Arabidopsis thaliana: one gene and its partner. The protein of the gene in region 1 interacts with the protein of each later gene in a pairwise test. Each region holds a gene or a part of one and is shown in the gene's direction. Other genes may lie near its edges.

Evidence for each region. The genes of interacting proteins can lie anywhere in the genome.
Region 2: the proteins of MEKK1 (region 1) and WRKY53 interact in binary tests that used the Arabidopsis thaliana proteins (3 or more experiments, as listed by UniProt).

The regions. Positions count from the first base shown.
Region 1 is NC_003075.7:5,401,362-5,409,939, reverse strand, and holds MEKK1 (MAPK/ERK kinase kinase 1), read left to right. Parts: upstream 1-2,619; 5' UTR 2,620-2,877; coding exon 2,878-3,935; intron 3,936-4,108; coding exon 4,109-4,193; intron 4,194-4,326; coding exon 4,327-4,389; intron 4,390-4,476; coding exon 4,477-4,634; intron 4,635-4,736; coding exon 4,737-4,809; intron 4,810-4,907; coding exon 4,908-4,967; intron 4,968-5,222; coding exon 5,223-5,336; intron 5,337-5,452; coding exon 5,453-5,668; 3' UTR 5,669-5,696; intron 5,697-5,791; 3' UTR 5,792-6,269; downstream 6,270-8,578.
Region 2 is NC_003075.7:12,390,899-12,397,274, reverse strand, and holds WRKY53 (WRKY family transcription factor), read left to right. Parts: upstream 1-3,292; 5' UTR 3,293-3,535; coding exon 3,536-3,939; intron 3,940-4,038; coding exon 4,039-4,609; 3' UTR 4,610-4,758; coding exon of another isoform or gene 4,759-4,875; 3' UTR 4,876-4,905; downstream 4,906-6,376. Other genes in the region: AT4G23820 (Pectin lyase-like superfamily protein), read left to right, coding at 1-58; 3xHMG-box2 (HMG (high mobility group) box protein), read right to left, coding at 4,759-4,875, 4,966-5,050, 5,123-5,208, 5,297-5,467, 5,551-5,616, 5,701-5,806, 5,885-6,294. UniProt on the Arabidopsis thaliana protein: Transcription factor. Interacts specifically with the W box (5'-(T)TGAC[CT]-3'), a frequently occurring elicitor-responsive cis-acting element. May regulate the early events of leaf senescence. Negatively regulates the expression of ESR/ESP.

The DNA.
Region 1 (8,578 bases):
GATTTATTAGTTTATACGAACGGAAAGAGATTCACCTGTATTAACGTACGAAAATGAGGATTTAGTTGAACTCTTACAGGAAAAGAGAATAAAACAGTTTTAACGAACAGAAAAGAAGTTTATATATATTTTTTCTGTTATATTAGGTTTTCCTTATTTGTGTACAAGTTAAATTTTTGGAACAAAGACAATGATCAAAGTTCATAACTGTATTTTTTTTTCTATTATAAATTCAGAATTAGAATAATTGCAAGAAAACTTATTACTTCTAAAGTTGTTTCTATATATATAAAAGAAAAAAAAAAGAAAAAAATAATTGTATTTATCTGACTATGTTTACCTACGTAAAAGACTTTCGTGCCACGGAAAAGGTTTAAGACTATTTACGAACGAGAAGAGATTTACTAGTTTACATGAACGAAAAGAGATTTACCTGTATTAACGTACGAAAATGAGGATTTAGTTGAATTTTCGCGGGAAAAGAGAGTTAACGGTTTTAACGAACAGAAAATGAGTTACTTGTAAAAAATACTTAGCATATGTTTAAGTGAAATTTCTAGTTAACTATGAGAAACTGTTTCACGCCCTTTGGAATATATATGGCAACTTGATCAATGTATATGACCAATTTTAGCTAAGTTATCAATTTTCTTACTTTTTTACACATATCATATAAGTTACTTGTAAAGTACACTATTTTTTGATATGATCAATTTTAAAAAGAAAAATATTATTATTTAAGTAAGATATCTAAATATTAATTTTAATATCTTTTGATAAATAATTTACTATAATTAGTTAATAGACATTAGTGATCATAAATATATTACCAGATTATGTAATACAATTATTAATAAGTATTTTTACCAAATATTAATTGAATTTTAGCCTAAATAGTTAATCAACATTAATATTTCATTAACATGGTACCAAATTGCCTAATTATAATGTCAATGTGTCTGAATTTTAAATATATTACCAAATTATACATTAAAATATTAATATTTTGTTATAGTATTTATTTGAATAAAGAAATTTAGTATTTTCTTCCTATAAAAGGATGACTAGGAGACAAATTTTTAGATTTTTAAAATAAAAGGCTGACTCTTCCAGAACTAAATATAGATATATTATTTATTAATTAAAGGTTACTAAAGTGAAGTCTAAGTGATTTGGTTTAAGAATTTTTGTTTAGAATTTACAATTTTCAGTTTAGTTTTAGATAATTTTGTTAATTGGATATTGACATTTTGTTTGTAGCCAGAAGTTGTTGTTTTTAAAAGAAAAGCTTTATTTTTGCTACCCAATAATGATGAGAAGAGATTACATAAACAAATTAAAATCAATACATGATACGAACTAATCTAGCTAAACGATTTACTCAATAACTTCACCCAATTCGTTTCGAAATCTAAGCAATATATCCCTCAAAAAATCATAACTAACATAACCAACATAAGTGTTTCCAATTTTGAGCGAATGAGAACAAACTTCTTCCCTGACACTTAACTCTTCGTAAGATGATTAAAATAATATATGATTATTGCTTCTTCACACACACGATCTCTAAAGCAATTTACCCATTAAATCTTTATATCTATATATAAAAATAAGTTTGATACATTACTATGCTCTTTGATGGGCAAAAGTAAAAAAAAATTGCTTTGATTTTGTAGACGAGTTTTGGGCATGCAATTTTTATTTACATCTTTTCAACAAAAACAATTAAACAAAACAAAATTTTGCTTAGACATTGTCCATGTTAAAGTTCAAAAATTGTACGAAAAGTAAGCGGTAGAAAATTTTGCTCTATTTAGGTTTATCGAAGTAATCTTTCTATTTGTTATATGTTGTATAATTTATAGTAATATGTTTATTTAGTTACAATCTTTTCGTAGGTTAACTATATTACTTCTAACTTTTGTATGTTTAACAGATTTTTTATTTACCTCTATCAAAACCCTGCAAAACACACAATCAAACTCGCAATACTCTACTACATCGATTAACTAATCCACGACACTTATTTTCTTTTGTACTTAAAAGTTAAAAATATATTAACACGTCCTATAGTAAAGCGGTGTATGCCTCGTCCACGGATTCTAAAGTTTACACATGTTTTAAGTTTAACACCTTAAAACCATCTAAACTCTACTTTTTAAAAGGGTTTTATGCAAAAAAATCCTCAAACTCGTCTATTTTTACAACTTTATTCTTCAGATCCAAAAAATGCAAAATATCATATGAATTTCAAAATAATACACAATATAGATTTTTCGTTACTATCAAATTTTAAAATTTTGATAAATAATATATTAAATCGGAACCTCGAGATGAAGAGTTCAAGTATATCTTTAAAAGTTTTAAAAACAAATGTATGTAATCGTGAAAACATTTACAATATATATAAAATTGCAAAATAGGCTATTTTAGATTTCATAAGATTATTTTGTATTTTTTAAAACAACAAACTCAAGTCTACATAATTAATATATTCAACTCAAAACTCCAAACTGAAAGCTTAAGAAGCCCAACAATTGTAAGCCCAATTAAAAAGCCCAGTAAGTGAACGCGTAAACAAAAAAAGTAAAGACTCTCATGGAACAATCAAAAACGCCGAAACAATGCTTCGTCTCCGATTATTCCACGAAACACCGCGTTTTTGTTTACATTTCTTCTCTTTCTCTCTCTCTCTTCTCTCATATCTCTCTCTTCGCCGTCAGGTTTTGCCCAAATTTCTCGGTCTTCTTCACTCCCGCGAGTTTTTTTTCTCGGGAAAATTTTCCAATTCCAAGCTCCATTGAAGCCAAGTAAGAGGTGCGATTCTCTTCAATTTTGACTTGGAACTTGTAAATAGCGTATGGATTTGAGCTGGTTATGGACAGAATTCTAGCTCGTATGAAGAAATCAACTGGACGAAGAGGAGGAGATAAGAATATTACTCCGGTACGGCGGTTAGAGCGTCGCGATGCGGCGAGGAATATCAATTACGACGCAGCTTCATGTTCTAGTTCGTCAGCTGAAGATCTTTCCGTTTCGACTTCTTCGTTGATGACTCGCTCTTTGGAGTTTCCGGAGCCTACTAGTTTCCGAATCGGTGGTGGTGTTGGAGAGATGGATCGGATTTATCGGTCTCTTGGTGTTTCTGGTCCTGATGATTTGGCTATTTCTTTTGATGCTTGGGAAGCTTGTAAGAAACGTTCTTCTTCAGATGTTGTTAATAGGTTTAAGTCTTTTGATCTTGATAAGGTTCGTGATCAGGATTTGAGTGAAGAAGGTCCTAGTGGTGTTGTTGTTGGTTCTGATTCAATGAATCATAAGGTTCAGGGTCAGGATTTGAGTGAAGCAGGTCCTAGTGGTGGAATTGTTACTGAGTTGAGTGAGATTGGGAATTTAATCACTCCTGTGGATAGGTTAGTAGCTGATGGTGTGGTAGAGAATAGGCGTGTTATGGAAAGAACACCAACTATTGTGAAGTCGAAAGGGTATCTTGTACCAAATAATGTAGTGGCTGTTGGTGTTGGTGTTGGTGGTGGTATTAAGGGGCTAAGACCACCAGTACTTAAGCCTCCTCCGGCTATGAAACGACCCCCTATTGATCATCGGGGATCGTCTTGGGATTTCCTGACGCATTTCGCTCCAAGTGAAACAGTTAAGCGGCCGAGTTCCTCTTCTTCTTCTTCCGAGGATGGATGCGATGAAGAGGAAGGCAAGGAAGAGGAAGCGGAAGCGGAAGAGATGGGAGCTAGGTTTATCCAGTTGGGGGATACGGCTGACGAGACGTGCTCATTCACTACAAATGAGGGTGACTCCTCAAGCACAGTATCCAATACTTCGCCTATCTATCCAGATGGAGGAGCTATCATAACGTCTTGGCAAAAGGGTCAACTTTTGGGACGAGGATCATTTGGTTCTGTGTATGAAGGCATTTCTGGGTAAGTCTTACTGGTTGCTTGTGTTTGTTGAACTTGAAATCAGATACTTAGTCGCATGATGTTTTAAAAAAGTAGACACTCAATGAGGAATACTACAGTAGTCGGCTGACAAATGTGGTCCAAACGAGTCTTCCATTATGCGTTTGGCTAATGGATGTTTATGTTATATGTAGAGATGGGGACTTCTTTGCTGTCAAGGAAGTTTCACTTCTTGATCAGGGAAGTCAGGCACAAGAATGCATACAACAACTTGAGGGGGTATGGAAATGGAAGTTTCATATACATGGGTCAATGATCCGTAGCATTTATCACTTCTGTCATTATCTCATGGAGCAGTCAAAAGTAGGTTGCTAATCCACCTTACCTTTGCCATATTTTTCATTTTCTACAGGAGATTAAACTACTTAGTCAGCTTCAGCATCAGAATATTGTGAGATATCGTGGCACAGCCAAGGTGTGGTCCTGTTCTCTCTTTCTTTTTCTTAGTTGCAGTTGCCTAACTATTTCATTGTGCAATAATAACTCATTTCGCTGTTTTCAGGATGGGTCAAACTTGTACATTTTTCTTGAGCTTGTAACCCAAGGGTCCCTTCTAAAACTCTACCAAAGATACCAGCTTCGGGACTCTGTAGTCTCCTTGTACACTAGACAGATTCTTGACGGTTTGAAATATCTCCACGATAAAGGTTTTATTCACAGGTTAGACTAGTAAACTCTCTTGGTACAGCTGTAATTCCCAAGCATCTATCTAATTTCCTGCATCTCATGGGTTACTTATTTTTATCATTTTATGCAACAAAGGGACATCAAATGTGCAAATATATTGGTGGACGCTAATGGCGCCGTCAAACTTGCAGATTTTGGATTGGCAAAGGTTTTTTTCCATAAATAGATATTTATAGCTTTGCTCTAAAGTAATTACTTGGTCCATCGTTTAGTACCCTGATATGTTTGTCATTTTTTTTTATTTAGGTTTCAAAGTTTAACGACATTAAGTCCTGCAAGGGAACTCCATTTTGGATGGCTCCAGAGGTATGGTTTTGGGAAACTTTCCCAGTGATTTACATTAATAGAAATGTTCTGGTCTGGGCTTTATAACCTCAAAAACTCCTGGTTATGTTTGCTTCAAATATTTGGTGAAATTTTCTTTATATCAGTTAATGGTTTTTGATAATTGTAAGTATGTATGTTAATCGTACGTAACAGATGTGGATTCATTTCACTTTCATTGTACTTGAGGCTATACTTGTATGGTTATATCTAAATAGAACATAATCATTTGATCAGGTTATTAACCGAAAGGATAGTGATGGCTATGGAAGTCCAGCTGATATATGGAGCCTCGGGTGCACTGTGCTGGAAATGTGTACTGGTCAGATCCCCTACTCTGATCTCGAACCCGTAAGTCTTCAAGATTTTCAAACTTTTGAACTGTCTTAATAATCTTAAACGACATTTGAAGTGTCTACTTTATGGGATTTTATGAGTTAAAAGTCAGAATTTGTGCAAACGCGCAGGTTCAAGCCCTGTTTAGGATCGGAAGGGGTACTCTTCCGGAAGTACCTGATACGTTATCACTAGATGCTCGGCTTTTCATACTTAAGTGTCTTAAAGTGAACCCGGAAGAGCGGCCAACTGCAGCTGAACTGCTGAACCATCCATTTGTGAGAAGACCCTTACCATCCGTGGGTTCAGGAGGCTCGGGATCAGCATCTCCCCTTCTCCGTAGATGAGGCTAATTTTAGTAAATTTCCTCAATAGGTGAAGTATTTAGTTGCTTTTTTCATGAGGATATTATCAGAATCAACAAAAGCTATATATTCTTCTAACATTGATGTCCTAATGTACAAAAGCAGGCATAACCCGAAGATTTATGAGAGATTAGATCCCAGAGAAACTATTGGGAGACACGAGACATGATTCTTCGACACACACACACGTGCGGTCGGGTTGCGCAGCAAGAGCCAAACTTACTTAGTTTCTGTGTCATTCGTTGGTTATTTGTTGCAAGTTATGTGTTGGGCTTGATTTTAAAACTGAAGAGCCTTATTTTTCTAGGAATTAGAAATGTCGACCTTGGGGTTTTTGGGTGTATAGGTTTTGTTTAGTTTTTTTTGTTAAATTATAGTGTATGTATGTCTGTATCTATATCATGTAATGTATAATTATAGTTGGTTCTTATAGTTCCTGGCTTGTTGTAACTGTGTACACACATCGATGGGTTTAAGTTCTATTTGTCTCATATTTTAAAGAAATCTGCTGCTCTAATCATCTATTAAAAAGTATAGTCAAGATATTTTCTATAATTCAGGTCAAAGCCACTTTAATTGAAGTCTATATAATTCAACTTGTTTTTTTTTCTTTTACAATATTGCCCGTTGAAAAGTTATTGGAAATGATGGATTTATAAAAAAATTCAAAAGTGACCAAAAAAAAAGATAATCGAAAGAATTTTGGCTTTGACCATTTTCAACGGGGATCTAAATGCCAGGAAAAAAAATACACAAGATACCTATACTTGGGATTATACCAAGTTTGGAGTACGACTAGATAGAATATTTGTTAGATTCGCTTTGATCCGTTATTCTACTCAATTTAATTATAATTTTCTAATCACCTAATTAATTATTTGAACTACTAGTTTTAACATTGAAAAGAGAAATATAAAATATTACTATTTTTGATAAAATTTTACTATTTTTGGATTAAATTTTATATTTTTATATTTTTTTAAAATAAATATTTAACAAATCCGATATATGATAATTAAATGGTTTAGATTTTAACGGATATTCAAAACCACCGAATATTTGGTCTCTCTCAAAGCAAATACAAAAAAAAAAAAATAAGTATTCTGATAAAGCAAATCGAATCACAAACAACACCAAAATCCCGGATATCTGCTCTCTGCTCAGCCCTAATTCGGAGGCTATACTGTCAATTCTGGATATTGGGTGCTCACACAGGTTATACAAAACAAGAATAGTCTCCAAGAGGTTTCATAGCCAAGTCTAACCCTATTTTGACTCTTTACGTTATTTCTCGTGTCTTTTTAGTGTCTTTTCAGGTATTTTATGCAATAAGACAATATTGGAGATAAGGAAACATTTTGTAGCAAAAACTAACGAAAAGGAAGCTAAGGACGACTTTGGTTCAAGAATCAGCAACGAGTGTCGACCGACACACTCTTGGTGTCGATCGACACTAGTTTCGGCCCAGCAAAAACCCTAGACGCTTTCGAGTTTCCAGAAGCTCAACTTTGTCCCAGAAGATTTCCCTATTTGCATTATTAGTCCCTGGACGTTTTTAGGGTCTATATATATTGTTTTTAGACCTAAGTTTCATTTATCAAGTCTTTTATCAAGTTCTTTGCAAACCCTATTGTAAGAGACATAAGCTATTCATCCATTGTTATTCAGAGTTTCATTCAGATCTATATACAGTGAAGAGATCCCTTCTTTCCCCTTCTCTATTCATTGTGTTTATGCTTTTTTATCTCAATTATGTTGTTTGTTTCATTCAATATGTCTGAGTAATCTGCTTGTTAGGAATAGGGTTTCTCATTAGGGATTCATATGGTTTAGTATATTGCCCCCTTTGCTAAGTTATCTGTAGAATTCTTCATCTTTAATTATACCTAATGTTATATCTAGAGTAATTAACTAGATCTTGAATCCAGACAATAGATATGTCCGCCATAGGTATTTGTAGTTGAATCTATTATTTGATCAGTTTGGTCTATAGGTGTGTAATAAGAATCGGCCTATTTACTAAGATGAACAATTGAACTCGTTAAGAATGCATATTTAGGTTGATAGTCTCTCGGCTTCTCCGGTCACTATTAGCTATAGATATAGGGAGTTTCGCGGCACGCCCACCGGTTATTCCATAATTAGAGTTTGAGTTTAAGAATGGTTCGATAACAACCTAGCTTTCATTAGATCTACTAACCAATAGCTTCCTGAGAATACCCTGTTCCTAGCTCTTTTCCTAATCGTTTACAACACAATCAATCTGCTGTTTTCTTATTTTGTTTTCTTAATATTTCACACATACCCTGCTAGCTTAATCTCGATATTTAACTCACTGTTTGAACAAAAGAACTCCTTGAATTCGATCCTAAAATACTGCAATTGATCTCTTATTTGAGAGAGTAGTTCTAGGTAATTTGAACCATATCAAATTTGGCGCCGTTGCCGAAGTTCTTGGGAATCATCATTGAGTTTAGTTTAGAGATTTTGTCTAGTTTTTACTTCTATTTTGTTACTCACGCGTTTCTTGTTTTCTTCTTTTCTGTGTTTCAGGTGTATGCCTAGGCAAACAAGGAGCACAAAACAGAAGGAGCTTATCAACTTGTCTGTTCTGGACTTGGGAAAACTTGAATGCACCAAACGAAAAACTCAGAAATTAGCAATGGCTGACAGAGTCATCCGAGCTGATGCAGAAGGAATTTTGAGAGATAAGGATGGGCAAGCCTACAATGAGGCTGGTCAGAGATTGGATGATCATGGAATCATCATACCTGAGGACGCTAATGAGGATCAGGCGCGCCTCAATGCACAATTAGCTGCTAGAGACGCAGCAGGGCTCGGTGTCGAGCGACACCAACTGGGTGTCGATCGACACCATCATGAGCAGCGCGC
Region 2 (6,376 bases), 7.0 Mb from region 1:
GCCGTGTTCGGAGCTGAGAACTACCGGCGGGTCTAATTTGTGTTCTTCCACATTCTAAAAACTTCTGAGCAAGTTCTTACCTCTTTGGTTCAATTTTTTTTTGAAATAATTTATCTCCAGTTTGCAGTTCCTCCATTTATATATATGTTTGTACTTTGTATGTTTTAAAAAAATTATGTAATGAATTGTAATTTGAAAAATGAAGAAAGTTTAACAAAATAAGCAAGTCTTTTTTTGTGAATGCTCAAGTTTCTGGGAAAAAAGAAGTTGGATTTATAACAGTAAGATTGATGGTATACTGGACATATACCGGCTCTAAAGACAGTTGGGCTCGATACTACAAAGGCTCGAGTAATAATTTGACAAAAGAAGGCCATGTAACATTGCCAAATTATTCAGAGGACAGCACGTCTTATCACTTGTCTAAATAAATAGCATTGATATTACAGTATATGGAATAACATGAGATTAGATAAATTAACATGATATTTGTTAAAATAACACGAAATCTATTCTTTTTTTTTTTTTTGATAACATAAGATAATTAATTTATTTATTTATAATTTTCCCTCCATTGGTTTTGTAGATAAGAAACTAAAGTTAGGCTATTTAATGCGTATATCTATTTATGTACCTCAATAATTTGAATTAGTGAGGAAAGAGTTAAAGTTGAAGGATAATAAGTTTATTTTAAGTGTGAAAATGTCGAATATGTGTTGACTATATCAAAGGGATTGAAAGCAATGTTTTTCCGTACATGAGTTTTTTTTAAATTGTTTGGCATTTTCCTACTTTACTAATTTATTGCTGTTTTTAGCGAGTCCAATTGGCTACTGATATTTGGCATAGCAAATTATATTTTTTTTTCATTCTACTAAAAATACTGTGCAGCGTTGACACACACACACAAAATACTGTTGCGTAATTAGAAATAAATGCGATACTTAATGCCGTAAAGTTTACAGATCATACAAAAAAAATCTTCTTGGTTTTGTAATGAAGCAATGCAGAAATAATATGTCAACTTACGTCATTATCTTGTGAGCTGATTCAAAGATTTCAAGAGTTATGTTTTGGATGCAAATATGTCAAATTACATAATTTCAGCTGATTCTATGAAGTGTAAATACAAATTTAGGGTGCAAAGTGCCAAGATTCATTTTATAAGGATGAATGATGAATGAGATCCAAATAATAATAATAATACAATGAATGAATGACGCAAAAGAGAGTGACGCCATTATAAAAATTAAAATATCATTTGGAGTACTAAAACTAGAAAACAAAAAAGAATGATAAAAGGGAAAATCCACGCGGAGAGAGGTTTGAAATGTCTTCGGTCCAATCCTGTCCTTTTGAATATTGATTTTCTTTTTGATTTTTCTTGCTTTTTATTAATCAACAAATCTGTTTTTTGGAATTACGTTTTTTCTACGTTGAAGTGATTTTTTTTCCTTTTGTAAAAGGCCTACGTTGAAGTAAAATTACATAAATAAATGTATGTTATGAATATCGACCCAAAAAACAAATTATTTCTACACTATACTTTGCGCAAATCAAATCTATCGAAAACGATTTTGGTAATCCCATTCCCATGAGTGAGTTTTGACCCAAAACAAATTTAAAAAAGTAACCATTTCATTAGTAAAACGGTAAATATGGTTCATAAACCTTTTAGTGGTTATTGGTCCTGTACACTACACTCGTGTGTGTCAACTTCAGCTATGAGATTTTTGCTGTAACTTTTTGGATAACGGTTCAATTATTACAAAGGTTATTTCTTACGTATGAGAGGTCCAAATTACAATTGAATAATATTTGATGACATACAAAGTTAAAAAGGATTAATCATAAGAAATGAATGTTGGAATGGAATGCATCTATCGATCTGACTACTTTAGATAGCTTGATGTTGGACTTAGTCAGCAAAGACCTTATCATACTCTTGTTGTATTGTATATATCGTATCACACAGTGACTGGTTTTTTCTACTTTTCTCTTTGGAACATATCAATCATTATGTATAAATAAATTTTGTCCAAATTAATGGCCATTTGTCTCAACCATAAATAAATATTTATTCACACACCTATATGACTATTTGAGATAATTCCATGGTGACTTGGTCAGCAAAAACCTTGTCATACTCTTGGTGTATTATCACATAACTTTGTAGATTATATTCTTATGGAACATATCATATATATTTGTCCAAATTAAACCCATTTGTATTATTTTCCCCTCTCGAGTTTAATATTTCTTATTTAGAAACAGTTAACAACTTGACATAGCTCACATAATCACTCACAGACTATATATGTATAAGCAACTACCATTTTAAATATTATTTAGTTATATTGTTAGACTGCAACTATTATTTATTTTCTTTGCCAAACAAATTTATATTTTTTCATGTTAATACAATATTATATCTTGAACAAATGTATGCTTAAATATATTGACACAAAACAAAAACATATAGGGGTTTTTAGGAAGAAATTTTGTACAGATTAATTAATCCTCATCAGATTTTTATTTTATATCTTATTTTTAGAAGTGTATGATTTTAAAACTAGAACAATCAAATCTTAGTAAATTTCATTCAACATAATTTTTATGTTATTGCTAATCTATTGAATGTTAATAAGAATTGTATTATACCAAATTACCAATATGTGTTTTGATACTTGTACTTAAAACAGAATGTGGAATATCCTTTCCCTTATTAATGATATTAAACATCATTACAATTCATAGTTATAGCAATGAAATATTATCCATAGAAAGGTTGTTGCATAATGCATACTAGTAAAGCATCAACCAACATATTTTGAAAATATTCTTAATCAAATAAAAAACATATATTGGAAATTCTTTAACAGTAGAAAAAAACATATAATAATAGAGAATCTTAATCACATGTACAAAGTCGTAGTTTTGAAAGTGTACATTGAAAGAGACAGTTGTATAACCCTTTGTTGTCTAATTATATAATTAACCCACTATAGTTAAATAAATGATAAACTTGGTTACAACTACATTAACAAAATTGAAATGTTGAATTGGTCAGCCTTTGACCTTATACTCTTTCACTACCACCACCCCACTTATCAATTACACTCTGGCCCTATACTTCCTTATACCAAAGACTTTTCTTCAATTTGAAAGTTTTGTCTCTCTTTTAAAAAGAAATAAAATAATTATTTATGGTTTGGTCATTTGGTCAAATTTTCAAACACTGAAAATCCAATGCCTTTATATACCAAACCAACACTCATCCATTTTTATCACCAATCCTATAACACTCTCATTCTCATCATATCATTCTTCAATCTATATAACCCATTCTTAATTATACTCAACACACATTATATTTTTCTGATCATATCATTCTTTCAGTCCATCTATATAACCAATTCTTGATTTATACTTAAAACACACATTATACATCTTTCTCATCATAGTTTGTATCAATTTCCTAGAGTAAACTACCTAAAGGAAAAAAAAAATCTATTTTGGGAATCATATACTAAAAATGGAAGGAAGAGATATGTTAAGTTGGGAGCAAAAGACATTGCTAAGCGAGCTTATCAATGGATTTGATGCGGCCAAAAAGCTTCAGGCACGACTTAGAGAAGCTCCGTCGCCGTCGTCATCATTTTCATCACCGGCGACGGCTGTTGCTGAGACTAACGAGATTCTGGTGAAGCAGATAGTTTCTTCCTACGAGAGATCTCTTCTTCTGCTAAACTGGTCATCCTCACCGAGCGTACAACTTATTCCGACGCCGGTTACTGTAGTCCCGGTGGCAAATCCCGGCAGTGTTCCAGAATCTCCGGCATCGATAAACGGAAGTCCGAGAAGTGAAGAGTTTGCCGATGGAGGAGGTTCTAGCGAGAGTCATCATCGCCAAGATTACATTTTCAATTCAAAGAAAAGGTAACAAATTGTTGATATCTTTTTTCACAATTCACCAAATTGAATTTAAAAATCTCATTTTTTCTAGAAACTAATTTGAAATTTGGGTAATTTTTGCAGAAAGATGTTACCAAAGTGGTCAGAAAAAGTGAGAATAAGCCCAGAGAGAGGCTTAGAAGGACCTCAAGATGATGTCTTTAGCTGGAGAAAATATGGTCAAAAAGACATTTTAGGCGCCAAATTCCCAAGGAGTTATTACAGATGCACACATCGTAGCACACAAAACTGTTGGGCAACGAAACAAGTCCAGAGATCAGACGGGGATGCTACGGTTTTCGAAGTGACGTACAGAGGAACACACACTTGTTCGCAGGCGATCACAAGAACACCACCATTAGCCTCGCCGGAGAAGCGACAAGACACCAGAGTCAAACCAGCCATTACCCAAAAGCCAAAGGATATTCTCGAGAGTCTTAAATCCAACTTAACCGTTCGAACCGATGGGCTTGATGATGGTAAAGACGTTTTCTCGTTCCCTGATACGCCGCCGTTTTACAATTACGGAACTATCAACGGCGAGTTCGGCCACGTGGAGAGTTCTCCGATCTTCGACGTTGTTGACTGGTTCAATCCAACGGTCGAGATTGACACAACTTTCCCCGCGTTTTTACACGAGTCGATTTATTATTAATTAAAATTTGTAACAGAGAAATAGATAGTAACTAGTAAGTAATGATCAGCGAGAGTTAAAACATAAAAGTACTTAGAGTAATCTAACGATGCATAATAAGGAATGTTCAACAGGACTTGAACATGATTTCAATACTAAGAGAGATTTATCTAGCTACTGGTAGTAGCCGCAGACTTCTTGTTGTAAGCTTCCACTTCCTTTTTGTATGCTTCCATCAGTTTTGCGGCCTTTCCGTTGTAAACTTGCTTCTCTTCTTCACTCAATTCCTGCAAAGACGTATTCGCACAGATAGATTAACAACAGGAAATTGTTACAAGCCAATGTGTTTTGTTGCTAGTAATTGTGATTTTTCATACCTTCCATTTCAGTGAAATGAGAGCAGTAACAGTAGCGTTGTTTGTCCCGGGACGTTCTTCTGTCAATTTCTTCCTTTCGTCCTTGCTGTAAAAACATGATAAGTTAGGAACTTTCTATAAAGACCAATTCGGATTATAACTTGAAGTAAGTTCATACCTGAAGAGAAAGTATGAAGAAGCAGGCTTCTTTGGTTTGTTAGGGTCAACGTTTTCGTTCTTCTTCTTCTTGGTCGCCTTCTCCTTCTGCAAGAGACAAATAATTATGATCCTGTGAGTCTCTGAGTTGAAATAGACCTTGGTGAGTTAAGTGTGAGTGAGAGAGAGTTATTACCTTGATCAGATTATCAGTTTTCTCCTTCTTCTTAAGCATTTGAAGAGCTTCTTGTTTGTGGAGTTTCAAGAGTTCCTCTTCTTCTTTCTTCTGACTCAGGGCTTCTTCTTCCTTTGTCCTCTTGTATTCCTCCATTGCTTGCAGGTATGTCTCCTTGTTCTTCTTTGCCACCTATTTAAACAAGAATACCTCAATCATTCAGTCTTAAGTCTTTAATGGCAGTGAAATGCAAGCATATTTGTATGGAAACAGACCTTCTCGTAGGGTGCCTTTTTCTTGTCTGACAAGTTCTTCCACTCCTCTCCAGTGATCTTTGCGACCTATAACCACATTTAAACTCCATAAGTTAGCTTCACAATTTGACAAAAACTGATCTGGAGAACGAATTAAGTAATTAGATTTACCTCCACGACGCTTTTGTTTTCTTCGCGTAAAGCAGCTCTCCTCTCGTTTGCATAAACAAGGAAGGCAGATACGGGATGTTTTGGCTTCAGAGGGTCCTTCTCCTTCCTGCAAACCATAAACAGCTCTAGTTAGTTTACTATTGATGATCAAATTGATATAGTCACTAAGACTTTTGGTTTTTACTTGTTCTTCTTCTTGTTGTCCTGTTCAGCTTCCTGGACAAAGTTGAGATACTGATCAAGCAATTCCATTGCAGTTCTCTGCTTCTGGTCATCCTCCAGAAGCTTCATGGCCTCCTTCTCGCGCTTCTCCTTAGCAATGACCTGGAGGTAAGCTTCTTTCTCAACCTGGTACCTTTCCTCGTAAGGCTTCTTATCTTCTGCACTAAGAGACTTCCATTTAGCCCCCAGAATGTTCGAAGTCTCCTTGAAGTCAGCCTCAGGGTTTTCCTTCTTGACTTCAGTCCATTGATCTTTACACCACAAAACGTATGAGGACGATGGTCGCTTTGTCTCAGGACAATCCTTTTTCTTCTTCTTATTCGCCTTTTCTTGCTCAGCCTGTGTGAGAGATGACTGACCGCAAGCAAAAGTCTGAAGAGCAAAAAACACAAAACACTCTCGAATCAATATCCAGAAACCAGTAAATATTTTCTCATCATCAACAACAGATAAC